Linked DNA regions of Neodiprion lecontei. The protein of the gene in region 2 interacts with the protein of the main gene of each other region in a pairwise test. Links are inferred from orthologs where the notes say so. Each region holds a gene or a part of one and is shown on either strand. Other genes may lie near its edges. The genes, in order: GPN-loop GTPase 2 and GPN-loop GTPase 1.

Region 1 (6,420 bases), on a different chromosome or scaffold from region 2:
CCTTTGGAAGCTCCAAGCACTGGAACCCCAGGTAGTAAAAGACATATTATATGAACAAAATGAGTGTTTGATGAAACCATGAATTTTGTGAGTATTGATAAATGGTACATGTTAGTTTGCGATTATTTTCTTGACAGTTCGAGGGGGTCTTACTTTGAGAGAAGGGATTCACTTGATGGAAGAAATCTATAATACAGGTCGACTAAATGCTGTAGATTTAGTGGAGGTCAATCCACACATTGGTACCGAACGTGACGTTAAAAAAACAGTCGAAGCTGCAATTCAAATTATTCAAGCAGCCTTTGGATATAACAGGCGTGGACTCAAAGTTCCTAAAGGAATTGATGACATACCATTGCAAACGTTCAAGTAATCAATCAGTATGTCGTTCATAACTGTGTCATCAATAATACTACTTTGTCAAATAACTATGTCAGATTATCAGGTGAACAAAGTTGTTCTCACAGTATCATAAACGCTTCAACGTTGTTGTAAATAACTGATTGGTAGTAAACCTGAACGTCGAGCATTTCAATGATTTGTGTAATGACAGCCCTTTCTTGATTCAAGATCAATGTGTTAAAAGATATTTCCATTTTCCAGCTGGTATGTGTTAATTAATGGCGCATCAACATTTAGTCCATATCTTTTCAAGTTTTTACGAATGCATGCAAGCACTAACTTTTAAAAACGTTCATTCTCTAGTAGGTTGATAAGTCTTATTATATACGAAACTGCAGAATCGGAAAATAAATTAAAACTTTTCTTCAGGTGATTCCTTTCACAGGTTTTATTAACTATTCCATACATTCAAATATAAAAAAGTGAATGATACATCTTCAATTTTATTATACATTTGATACTATTTCATAAGCAAATAACAAATGAGAATTTACTTAACTGAATTTTATTATCGTTTATATCTAAAATTCGTATATCTTAAAAGCCATTCCAGTAGAATATCTGATTACTAGTTTGTTATACCAAAATATATTCTAATTGGTTGTAAATTAATACGTTCAGGAGATCAATCTTATAGATAATTATCAATTGTAGACATTTTTTCAGTTTCACTAATGGCACCAACAGCACATGCGAGTAATGTTTGAACGTCTTTTGGTTCATTGCCACCAAAAATGTAACCGTTTGCTTTATCTACTGCATTCTTTACTTGCAATAGAAGAGACTGATTGGAGGTATCTAATGGTATAAAACTCACTAAGCTGTAATCTTCAACCAGTGAAACCAAAGCGGCATTCAATTTTTTATACCTGCAAATTAATTATACTATTAACCACAGATCTTTTAAATACTTGCATCTGCGAAAAAGATAAAGTCTATGTTTTTAGATATGTTTACATAAATAAAATGATCTGAACACCCATCACCATGTAATCACAAATGAATAATTACTTTGAAGTGAAGGGATCTTCATTGAGCTTTTCCAAAAGATATTGTAAATCAAGAACTTCCGTATAAAATTCAAAATTAAATGCCAAGCGATCACTGAATTTCTTCATTTCATCTATCTTCGTCAAAACATTAATGTGGGGTAATCCTAGATGTAGCATTGTGCTGGTACAGAGCATTAAGGATGACAAATATTTTCCTGTAATAACAACAAAACAATTATAAATCTTTGACTAAATAATCCTGTATTGATAAGTAAGTCAGTCGAAAAGTTTTGCAAAATGAACGTACTATTAACAGTTTCTCGAAGTAATTTGCCCGACACTGCATACATTTCTCCATTCGCCGTATCCAGTAACTAAACCAGCCCATCCACTTTTCTTTCGGAATATCGGTAGATATTCTGTCACGCTCGGCAAAAAGCTCAGTATTACTGGGAAAATGCATTACTTCTAGCTGTCGAATTCTGGGAATAGGGCAGCCACAGGGACCTGGGTTACGACTATTAGGAGGGTGATCCAGAAGAGTTAGTCAAGCCTGAGTAAATAGGCTCCTTTGCTCTATGTTCTGGAGTGTGCTCACAATGTAGGAGCTAAGTTTCAAGGCGAGAACTATGACTCAGATTTTGAAGCCTGTCAATCACCTGAGACAAACGTACTCTTTCGTTACTTTTCCATGTAAAAATTTTTGCATATTTTCTCTCTGTACCAGGGCATGGTATCACCAAGACCACGACGTGCACAAATTGCAAAACTTTGCGAGTGACCTGAGTAATAAAAAATACTCACCTGGATCACTACAATGATGTGAATCAATTAGCTGTACGCAACACAGTCTAACAAGATTTTGTTCCAATCTCTCTGCTATGCGACTAATTGATTTGTGATGGGTGTACAGCTCTACCTTAAATTTCGAATTATTATATTACATTGAATATATTGTACAGATATTACGTGTCAAAATAAATGAATATGTACATAATTTCTTTAAATATCCCATTTCACAAATAAGACACATAAAGACATAAATATTGCTTTCTCGTGAAAAAGAATGAGTATTTAGAAAATGAAATATTGACGTTATGCTATAATTTTGAGGAGTAGAACTTCATTTAAAAAACGTTTAACATCAACGTACTTGGCCAGGGCAATCGATGATCAAGTAGTAACCTTTGAGATTGAGAATTTTTTCAATCAACCAATTCACATTCGCTTCTAAAAACTCCATGCAGTAAATCAAGGCACCGTTTGGTCCTAGTCTGTAAGTCGTCATTACTTCGTCGTGCTTAATCAGCTCCGAAATGTCTACCAATGGGACATACTTCATGTTTTCATTCGCTGGATCTAAGTGCAGTCACAAAGAACAAAAAATAATATAACTATGCAATCTTTAAATTTTTGAATATTGTATTCTCTTAGAGATTTGAATAACTGGTAGGAATGCACAAATTTTTTTAAAGATCGTACCAGTAAACAACAATATCAAAACTTTTTTTGAACTGCTTGTGATAATGAAATGCTCATTTGTTCATTATAATAACAAATTATTTCTGTTCGTATAACAAAGAAAAAGAACCAAAATATTAAAAACTGATATAATCTCATACTCTGATTTAAACTTCTTTGAAATTTTATCCAATGTAAGAATTAAAGAGAATGAGCATAATTTATGAAACACAGGTAGAATAGATAAACAATTCTGTGGCAATTTCAAGGATTTAAAGATGTGCTTGGGAGCTTCTGGAATGACTAGTCAATAATGTAACCCAACGCTCACCAATGTTAATAACAGCAACTGTTCTACCCAGTTTCGTCAAAAACTTTGACATTGCATCGCAGAAAGTAGTTTTCCCACTACCAGGTGGGCCAATTACTAATTGTCCAAATATCGAGGTCATTGTGTTATAAATGAGCAATCGATGAATGAAGATTCTTCAATTTATAAGAAGAATCACAAAGACTATCAAAGACTATATTTTCCTGATAGCAGCCACTATATGTTTCACAGTTTGTACTCCATAATCCTTTAAGCAAATTGATATTAGCAATGGCTTTTCTGTAGCTATTTGCTCAGCAATGTACCGAGCTGCTGCGTGTATTTGATCATCATCCTTGCCCAATAAGGTTCTGCAAAAAACTTTCTCTGTATATCCAGTAATACTAATCACTAGCAGTGACTTAAATACATACTTTATTGTGTAAACATCGCTCTTGGCAGCTTCTTCTTTGGTCACAGTCAGTATGGAACCAAATTTTTCAAACTGAGTAAGAATCAAGAACATACGATTCCTGAAAATTTTTTTTTTTAAATAATTTATATTGTTTTGGGGTTAAAATACACTTGAACGTTACTGTCCACCATCTCTGGCGAATTCTCTACCTGTAGTTTTTTATTACGATATCGGTGTGTACCCCATTGATCACGACCCCCGTAGATTTGTCTTCACTCGCATACGTTAAATTCGGACTCGCCGCAGCCGCTCCGGCTTCTAGGTTAACTTCGGTATCAACTAGAGACATGTTATTGACGCATTCTGATTGGAGATAAGTCTATTCGTACCACAGACAAATTAACAAAATTCCTCGTTGAGTTCACAGTACTCATCTGAGTAAGAACCTTCGATTGAACGTAGCCTGCTTTACATTAAGCCCATCAATAAGCCCAATACGCTACAATCCACTGAATTACAATCACAAATACAGGCAGGGTAGCACTAGGTAGAACCCATGAGGGACAATTTCGATAGAAATTCCACTCATCCTTTTGTTCGCATTATCGCCGTAGACTATGGGACTGAAGATATCTAAAGATGTTCAGCCTCGGGCTCAATTCTGTAATTTCACTTTTCACATTTTCCACCATTCAAGCATTCTGATTAGTTTGCAAAGTTTAGTCAAGTGAAATTACATAATCGTCCCCCTGCAGTATCGACCCATCCTATGGAATCATAATTTTAAATCGCGTCGGTATAGCAAAATACTGCAACCCCTCGCCGGCTTTCAGCTCGCATTAGCATGCCCATACCTGCGAAGCAAAGTTCATAAAGTTAGCAGTCTTTATCCTTATCGCTCTTTCTCGTATTGGGACGTTTAAAAATACAAGTTAGTCCCGTCTATTGCGAACTACCGTCGACGTCATACTGAGACTGAAATACTGACAACCTGATTGCGATGATTGAAAATCTGCTATAAGCTCTATACCAATTACAAATGGCAGCTGCAGATAGTCGTGACTGCGCAGATGCTAGCGGAGATTCAATATTTCTTTCAGTGAAACCTCGTCGTATTTTACTGTTCAGTGGAAAAAGAAAGTCCGGCAAGGATTACATTACTGACATTTTACAGCAAAGGTAATATACGTCTATCAATATAACGTGATGTAACAGGATTCACGTACGCACATGCATGACTCGACGTGATGATGTCAAATTTAACAATTGTCAGGTTATAGCGTAAAACCATAAACATCAACACAGATCGTACGTATTAATTTCTATTCGCCTATAAATTGTGCATCCGTACCAGGTTATTATTCATTTTCTTTGATCATATTTACACATTCTAATTTTACTTACTTTCTCGTATTTCTTTTGAAAAAAAAAATTGCAATTTACTCTACTCCACAGATTAAACCATTTGCCGTGCGTGACGATAAAGATTTCTGGACCTATAAAAATTCATTGGGCCAAAAGTTTGAACCTAGATTTCAAAGAATTACTTGGAGATGGAGAATACAAAGAGAAATACAGGGGACAGATGATTGCATGGGGTGAAAATATGAGGAACAAAGATATTGGCTACTTTTGTCGTGCTGCTATCGATATGTATAATGGTAATATCACCTTACCATTCTTTCACAAATCACATATTCTATAACTTTGCTGTTTGTAAAACAAAAATAAATTATTGTGTAACACGGAGGTAAATTCGATCTTTTCGGGCCAAGCGCAAGTTTCCATTATGAGTTGTAGGTGAGTACTCATTCGAGCCAAAGACAAATATTGAAAATATGCGAGGTGAAATGACAATTGCCTCCTTGTTACACACAAGTTTTTATGTAACAAGAATATGTTACATGGTTTTTCACGAAGCACAACATTGAGGTTAGGGTCGCATAATGTCAGATTTGTTTGCAAGAGCGCATATGCGCAGTAAAAAAACGACTGCCTTTAACTCCTGAGAAAACTGCGAGGAGTCAAAATTAGTCTTTTCTGTACTTTGCACATGCGCATTTGCTAACCCACTTTACCGTCATAGAAACAGGTATTTCGTGTACGAATAATGCGTATCGAAATCTTGTTGCAACTCCTTTGATACTTCGATTTTTTAAACCTATAAAGTGTATGTAAAATACCTTTTTCCCAATCAGTGTGAGAAAGAAAACCTTCAGATGATTTTCAGAATTACAGTTTTTTTCAGGTAACTTTTTGCACAATCAGTGATGTGACAGAGCATGGCTGAACTTTCTATATCTTTTAAATTATCTTGTTACATTCAACTGATTCTGAAATCACACTTTCCTTCATAGGTGTTGCTCGAAATAGTATGTATGCGCGAGTAGGCTATGTTAGACTCGTGTTATTAGAACGTCGCCTTGGCTCATGCTGTGTTTACGGCAATACTCCATGGAAATCACCTAGTTTCCGCATTTATAACACGATGTATTATTTTATAATTGATGTTGTTTCATGTAGTGATATATTCTTTTTTTCAGCTTGTAATATACCCATATGGATAGTCAGTGACATAAGACGGAAAACTGATATTCAATGGTTCGTTGAAAATTTTGGCAGCGCTTGTAAAACTGTAAGAATTATTGCTGATGATGAAATCAGGACAAAACGAGGATGGATCTTCACGCCAGGTCAGTGAATATGATAATAAATTTCTCGTTATCAATTTGCATTAACTTTTGCGTGATGGGCATATACTGTCTCAGTAAATTGCATATAATTTGGTAAACTCTATTTTTTGTAGGTATAGATGATGCAGAGTCTGAATGTGATTTAGA
Region 2 (7,814 bases):
CACTGGAACCAAAAGTATAGAAATCTCACTGAAGCTCTTGGAAGATTGATCGAGGACTACAGCTTAGTTAGATTTTATCCACTCAATATCAAAGACGAAGAAAATATTGCTGACATAAGGCTGACTATTGATAATATCATCCAATATGGTGAGGAAGCTGATGTCAAAATGAAGGACTTCGACGAGCCAGAGCAAGATGATGGTGATTAACATAAACCATCCAATCCATCATGTAAATAAAACTATTTTTTTCAAATAATAAATTGTCTTTACACGTCAGTACCATGTGTTTCATTCGCTACAACGATGTGTCAAGTGAAGAGCTTCCCTCACGATTTTTGGCTTCTCAAACTGAACACATGTCAGTTGTTGTTTTCTGTAGTCTTGAAGCTTATTTCAGTGCAGTCTACTCTGTCAAAGCAAATGTTCAATACAAACCACTGCATCATTTTACAGGCTGTTTACGACTATAACCTAGTTATGTATACTTGTTTAAAATTATTACCGTCAATTTTAAAGTTGTTTTAGGTATTTTAGAATGGATTTCCATCAACCAAATTGATAGGTATTAAAGTTTATTTTTGTACAAAGATTTTCATGGTACAAGGGCCATAAACATTTGGTATCAATGAATTTTATGATCAACCAACTTTATTCTCGAATGGTGTATTCTATGCTGAGAAATATGTCAGCCTCCTTTGCTGGTACTCGGTTCACTTTTTTGGGACTTCGCTCGTCTGTCCTGTTCGGCTTTTTGTTTTGCAAGAAAAGTTTTAAAAGATTCTGCCTCTTTTCGTTCATCCTCGTCCACTCCTGGATCTCCAGAATTCTCTTCGCCTTCTTCATCATCGCTAGACTCGTTGGCTGGGTGTTTCAGATAGATATCTGCTATCTCACGGCCAACATTAACTGTACTGACCAATGGAACAACATCGCCGGAACCTTCCGCAGCTGCCTTTTTCAATTGTGCTTTCCTTGCTTCTTCCTGTGCTTTTGCATTCTCCACGCGGATTCTCTCCCAATCTTTCTTATAGTCTCTGGAACATTCGTTAAATAGTATAGAAAGTATACAATAAACGAAATACTTATGAAGGTGTAGTTCGTAATTTTAATGGCTAAATTCTCTTTCCTACACATCCATTACGTGAACGTTTCCAATTTCAATCTCATAAATATTTCTCAACAATTTTGATAATCTTATCAATCAGAAGTTGAATGGTACCCGTTGAAATATAAAGTAGGGTAATGTTAGTTTCGTGTTCAGAATATCTTTTAAACGAATTAAGTGAAATATTGGCTTAAATAACGTTGCAAATGAGTGAAATATTACATTATAGCCAAGTTTTAATGCAAAGGATGAATAGTCGAGAATTTTCTCACTTTTCTGTCAAAAGCCGTGAATTTTTGAGAATTTTTAAACATTTCAGTACAAAATTACGTTTCATATTCTTTGGCCGCTTCTTCAATCAGCTTGAAGAAGCGGGGAACTCCATCCCCGGTCAATGCCGAGACACCACAACTGCGCAGGTGACAATAGAATTCGTCAAGTGCTAGTGCCAAACTGCGTGTCAAGTTACTTATGTAGCTAGTCTCTGATTCCAAGGCTTCTTGGAACGATTCAAAATCTTGCATCCAATCCACTGCATAGCTGTGCTCAACAACATCTATCTGTAACCATAAAATCTCAAATGAAATCTACTAATCGAGTGTTGATGAAGTGTACATGCATTGAAAACTGCAAAATTTGTACTAATCAACGATTACTTGAATTATTTGTATTTTTCTCAATTTACCTTATTCATTGCTATAACGAATGGAAGTCTGGTCTTGTAAAGAATAGAACATGCATATAGCATATTCGACATAAAGGTAACTGGGCTGACGCTCCTCACAGTATCCATGACATAGACAATCACAGTTGGAAATTCAGAAGCCAATGCCTCAGTGATGATCGTGCCGCTGGCTGACCAAGTGAAAACCTCTATTTGACCAGGAGTATCCAATATAACAAATTCGTGTTCTTCTCCTGCCTTTTCAATCAGTTTTATCACCTGGTCAAATTTTGTTGAGAATAAATTCAGTGCCGTAACAATACCACCGTTTGGGCCCAACCCATACTGCTTCATGACCTCCTTGTAGTTGACCGTGTCTCTAATGTCTGAAAAAATGGTTGACTTATCGAGCAACTATTGAACATCTTAAGACGGCCGCAGACACATAATGATGGTCGCCGATCCATCCCCTATCTTGCTTCATACAACCCTAACGGCTCATGAGAACCAACTCTATCACATATGGCGAGTGTTCGTAGTGATTATTATTAATATTATTATTATATTATTCTTGTCCCGAATTGTTGCATTTATCTTTATTAAAAAGTTTATTGAGGAGATATATACAAGTAGATGGCTAGAATTTTGGGAATTTATATCTCAACAACCAATTATGCAATTTGATTAAGATTCGTTTCATTCAAATGTCTGCAGATTAAGTTCCATCAACGTTTTCTCTATTAAAATCAGACAATAGGAAAGATTGTTATTCACATTAGGATAAACCGTTTTGCTCAGTGACACGTTTTTCAGTGCCCATGATGTCGCAGAAACAGCTCGACTGATTTGTATCAAATGAGGATAGATTATTCTTGGATAATTTATCCTCTTTGCCACGACTCTACTTTTCTTTTGAAAATTTTCATGTTTTTTTGTTAATTGAGTTAAAAAAAAAGGTTTAAATTTAGCACGAAAAATCAAATTTCTTGTCATGATATTAAGAATTCTGAGTTTTACAGTTTTTATAGGATTTTATAAGCATTGGAACTTTCTTTCACAACTTCCAGGCATGGTATGAAACATAGGATTTTCACAAAATTCAATATATATCACAATTTCAAAATTACCATGGAATTGTACAGCAAACTCAATGTAACTAGAACTGAGCTCACCTATATTGGCTGGGTAAGGGACTTCGGAACAAGCCGGATCCAGATTGATAACATATGGTTTACCAGTGTTATACAAAGTGGACGTGATTTTTTTGACAAAAGTTGTTTTTCCTGAACCAGCCATTCCAAGGACGACTATACAAGTTGGCTTTCGCCTTGCACCTGGAATTGGCTGAGTGGTTGACGCATTTTTAACATCAATTTCCATGTCATCATTGCCATCTCCTTGTTTTTCACTTTCGGTTACAGTGTCAGTCTTGAACATATTGGCTAATTCTAAAACAAAAAATGGTAAAAGTCATCACAGAAATCGTATCTAAAACCACAGATAATTTTTCGCAAATCTGCAATTCCACACTCAATTAAAGTAAAATGCGATTGAAGCTTAACGACGTTAAATTTCACTGTGTTATTGAAAATTTCCAGGTGTACATTTGGAAATCCACTTCAAATTCCCATAGGTTTGGAGACATCGGACACAATCTTATCGTGATTTGAAATAGATTTCAAATGATTCCTTCAGGTGATCTAGAATCTTTTAGAATGCCAGATAAGATTCCCATGGCTAAAGAAATTTAAAGCTACCTAGACAAGCTTAAATTGTAGGAAAATGCTAGTCCAATTTCGAGCTTTGGAGGTTGGACATAATAAAAGAATCAGAGGTTAGGATTTTTTTGCGTTGAATTTTTTACGATTAATTTGTCAAGAGGTTCTTACAATCCAACGCATTATTATTGGCTACTTGTATCTCGACGTTTTACACCGACAAATAACACGTTATTAATCAAACCTAATACGTACAAAAGGAGTTATTGTAAATATTGACGAGACTCGAAAGATACCGGTACGTCCTCAATCAAAAATTGTGTAACTCAGGCCTGGAAAGCTAAGAGTCCTCACTGAAATGTATAATATATCAGTGCTTTTATGTATTTTTAGGAAATTATCTATTAAGTCTCTACCTGTTATTTTCTTCGAATTCGACAAGCGTGTCAATTGGGAAACTGTTGTTCAACTCTAGATATAGGTATCTTATTCTAGGTGGTCTTCGGATACGCTATCTAGTGACCAAATTCAACATCTGACCGTGAGCGCGTAGCTCGAATTGCTAACAGCTGACTATGTATTTGTTTATGTGGAAATGTTAATATTATTTTTTAGTTTTTCGATTAATAATTAAGATTTAAAAAGTGAATAGTCGATCCAAGTCATTGTTTTGATTATGGAATTCCCTGCGCGAAAAAATAAAAGTAACGTGTATTGCTGTGTGTTTGATTGTCAATGTAAAGCTTATGGTGATGAAAAAATCAAGTTTTTCCATCTTCCACATCCCAATAAAGATTTCGTCGATAGAATCAACAACTTTGGTGATAAATACAAAAGCGATAGTCGCGTAGCTTGGACCAGTGTTGAGAATTGGAAAAAGTGTAATGACCAGTATAAGATCTTTTCACTCCATTTTAACAAAGACAATTTTTACCATCATGTAATAGCTGTTGGTTCGACTCATTCTTAACTTAAGAAAATAAGTGTTCCTTCTCAAAATATTCCTCCAGGATCAACTACAAAATATACTCGTCATGTAAATTCTAGAGAAGAAAGAATACGTAGGAGATCACTTATAAACAAGGTACTGACAGCTGAAGGTACTGAAGAATTGAGTCTTGATAAAAAAAAAAGGAGAGGACATTTTATTTCAATTATTTTTATAGATTTAAAATCATCGAATACAATAGCATCAGGTGAGCAACCGAGCTAAGGATTATTGTGTGCAATAATAAGACTGCATTCAACAACTTTGAACTGTGTGGAATTTTCATAAAGCTCACATGCTGTGGGTTCATTTTAAACCATGTCTAGTATAAGTATTACTTATCACAGTTGGATAAAAATACTTTAATGATTTGTACTACCAATCGAGTTCTTATTTTTACTATAAGTAAATAATCTATAGCTTGGATCACTTCCTGTAATTCTAAATTGTCTTTCTTTCTCCCAACAGAATAAAATTCAGTAGTTGAGCAACTCCATTTAATATTGTTCGACTATTTTCTTACAGCAGTTCTGAAGAGGATTAACATCAATTTTTTCTAGTTTATCGAGAAAGACTGAGGACTTTTGATTACTAAAAACAGCTAGAATTCTTCCTGAACAAATGATAGCACTATTGTTATTGCTTGAAACTTGGATATACTCATGTCTTGTAATTCTGTAAATAAAACAGAAAGAGAGAAAAGAATATTATAAAATAAAAACACAACATCATTGAAATTGTGAAATAATTTATTAATAATAATTTCATAATTAGATTTGACAAAAAAGCGTAATGTTTTTAAAAATCAATTTATGTAGCAGTTTAATACTCTTTCATAAAACATGATTATTTGTAAAACATGCAATCAGGCTTTGAAAAAATATGTAATGCAAATAATAGGAATTTGTAATAGTGATATATGTGTAAAAAAATCAGGTCAAAAATTGATGATAAAAATGTAAAAATAAAATGTCAGCGTAAAATTTACACGTGTAAAGCTAGAGCAAAAAATTGTACTTCTTGCTTTTCAGACAGCTGTAAATTTTCATTAAAATCCATCGATTCAGTGTTGTTAACATCTCCAGCTTAAATTTCTTTTGTTCCCTTATATTTTAAGCATGGAAATTTTTTTTTTCGCCGATAAAAGACACTCATGTTCATGTAATGGCTTGCCTTCTATTTTTCTAATGAAGATTCATGAAGCCAATCCATACACATTTTTTATGAGTGCAAGTAATCATTGGCAAGCTCTTCAAATCATTGCTGTAAAAATAAAAATCGATTTTAATAAATTAATTGTTGGAAAAATAAAATAACTGTTATAGGTTATGAATGTGACAAAATATCTTACCGGTTGCAATGGAGTAATACTGCGACGTGTTTACGAATGACCTGCCTTATAAGAAGAACTCATTCCAATTATTCGACCGTCGTTTATTATTTGACCAGTTATTTCATAGGGATTATTTTTAATATAATGAATAATTAATGTTTGTAAACAAAAAGCTAAAACACTTATAACATTGCAACCACTGATTGGTACTTGTCCACATTTTATCACGTGTCCAGCATTTAAAACCCTCACCTCCAATGAAGTTTTTATTGCTTGGCTTTGTGCAAGCAAATTCACAAATTTCTTGTAGACAAAATTTCATTTTATACATTAATTAAAATTACAAAAACAAAATCACCCGATACTGCGTTATGTACAGCATAACTTACTAACTCTAGTGCATATTTTCACCGCTTGGTTCAATTTTATAGTTAGGTAGTTAGGTTATATAATATAGTTATACTTCCCTGTCATCTGACTCGCTTCGAATTCAATGCTCGCACGTGTTCGTCGTGATATGCGCGTTTCTTTCCTCGCAAATCGAGGTTATGTTTAGTCGAAACAAACAAGCAATGGGGAAAATCAAAAAGGATAAATCTAAGACGTGGAAACCGTTAAAATTGGAGGGTGCCTTTTTTGCTGAAGGTATTGACGGCCTGATCGGAATTGAAGAATTGACGGATTACAGTCTCGAAAAAGGAACCAAAAAACGAAAAGCAACTCGCTCCGATGACAAATTAGACAAGGTAAATGGTTTCCTGCATATTGAAATAATTTTAAATATCTCTAATACTATACCTTTCACCGAACAATGGTCTCAATATTATGTACAAGCACACGAAATAAATATCAAGATAACTCTGGTACGATAGAGCAGCACTTCTTCTTTCGAGAGTTAAATCACTACCGATAACAGATGATACATATTAAGGATATTGAAGGGATTGAGAAATTTGTAAAACTTACAGTATCTGGACAATATTAACGAACTTTCGCAGTGCATGAAAGGAAAATCTGCTTACAGCATAGTTTTAGTTGATTGATTTATGACGTGTAGTCAGTAACATTACAGAGAATAACCAATAGCTCTGCCAATTTTCTTTAATATTAATAACAAGAAAATTGAATCATATTTAACAAACAAGGGTAACAAGAAGAAAAAGGCTCAGAAACTCGATGACCAGATTGACAATGACGAGGAAGACGAGCATTCAGCTCAAAAGAAAAAACTTAGAGCAGCTGTGAAAGGAGAGAAAGTGAAGCCGAAGAAGAAGAAGCAAAAATTCGACGATAAACGTGGTATAAAGCAATCTGATCTAATTGAAGAAGAGTCTGGTATTGGATCCGATAGCGAATCTAATTTGGATAAAAACGGGCATGAGGTTGACGCAGAGGATGGATGTCTGATCAATCTGGACAATCTAAAATCAGATATAAACGTACATTCATGGACTTCGCTGGGTGTACCTGAAATATTGGTAAAAGCATTGGCTGACCAAGGTTTTCAAGCTCCGACACCAATTCAGGCTCTGACCTTGGCTCCAGCAATTTTGGGAAGGAGAGATATTTTAGGTGCCGCTGAAACAGGAAGTGGAAAAACTTTGGCTTTTGGTTTACCAATTTTAAATGGTATTCTGGAGGCTCAGAGGAAAGAGGCAGATAAAGTGAATGAAAGCAATAATTCAACTGAAACAGGTGATCAGGACTGGAACAAATTAGGTGAATCAGAAAATGAAGATGACGAAGATATACTCTCTATGGATGAATTGTCAAATGAAGAATATTCAGATTCTGGTTTGTAATTATCTCTGATTGTCTATGTCAATAGAGTTATGCATTTTCATTGTTACAAAGTGTTTGACTTGAAATCGTTTGTATGCATTGACAAAATCAGTGAATCTAAGATCAATGGCTTATTTTGAAATGACGAGGAACTTGCTTGGATCGAGAAACTTCGTCGAATATCATACTTCAATTTTTCGAAATTGTTGCACATGTAGCAA

What was found.
Region 1: the proteins of GPN-loop GTPase 1 (region 2) and GPN-loop GTPase 2 interact in binary tests that used the Homo sapiens proteins (3 or more experiments, as listed by UniProt). The link is inferred for Neodiprion lecontei from reciprocal best matches to the Homo sapiens genes GPN1 and GPN2.

Annotation. Positions count from the first base shown.
Region 1 is NC_060265.1:18,519,799-18,526,218, forward strand, and holds GPN-loop GTPase 2, read right to left. Parts: upstream 4,329-6,420; 5' UTR 3,790-4,328; intron 3,699-3,789; 5' UTR 3,600-3,698; intron 3,547-3,599; 5' UTR 3,308-3,546; coding exon 3,187-3,307; intron 2,754-3,186; coding exon 2,548-2,753; intron 2,314-2,547; coding exon 2,199-2,313; intron 1,610-2,198; coding exon 1,414-1,609; intron 1,272-1,413; coding exon 1,034-1,271; 3' UTR 543-1,033; downstream 1-542. Other genes in the region: arginase, hepatic, read left to right, coding at 1-31, 138-373; phosphomevalonate kinase, read left to right, coding at 4,620-4,759, 5,036-5,241, 6,124-6,273, 6,387-6,420. UniProt on the Homo sapiens protein: Small GTPase required for proper localization of RNA polymerase II and III (RNAPII and RNAPIII). May act at an RNAP assembly step prior to nuclear import.
Region 2 is NC_060262.1:18,441,091-18,448,904, reverse strand, and holds GPN-loop GTPase 1, read right to left. Parts: upstream 6,201-7,814; 5' UTR 6,143-6,200; coding exon 6,064-6,142; exon of another isoform or gene 5,830-6,063; intron 5,742-5,829; exon of another isoform or gene 5,652-5,741; intron 4,007-5,651; exon of another isoform or gene 3,907-4,006; intron 3,844-3,906; exon of another isoform or gene 3,746-3,843; intron 3,646-3,745; exon of another isoform or gene 3,530-3,645; intron 3,221-3,529; coding exon 2,945-3,220; intron 2,159-2,944; coding exon 1,794-2,158; intron 1,669-1,793; coding exon 1,439-1,668; intron 1,038-1,438; coding exon 689-1,037; 3' UTR 559-688; downstream 1-558. Other genes in the region: GPN-loop GTPase 3, read left to right, coding at 1-210; ATP-dependent RNA helicase DDX24, read left to right, coding at 6,360-6,557, 6,957-7,605. UniProt on the Homo sapiens protein: Small GTPase required for proper nuclear import of RNA polymerase II (RNAPII). May act at an RNAP assembly step prior to nuclear import.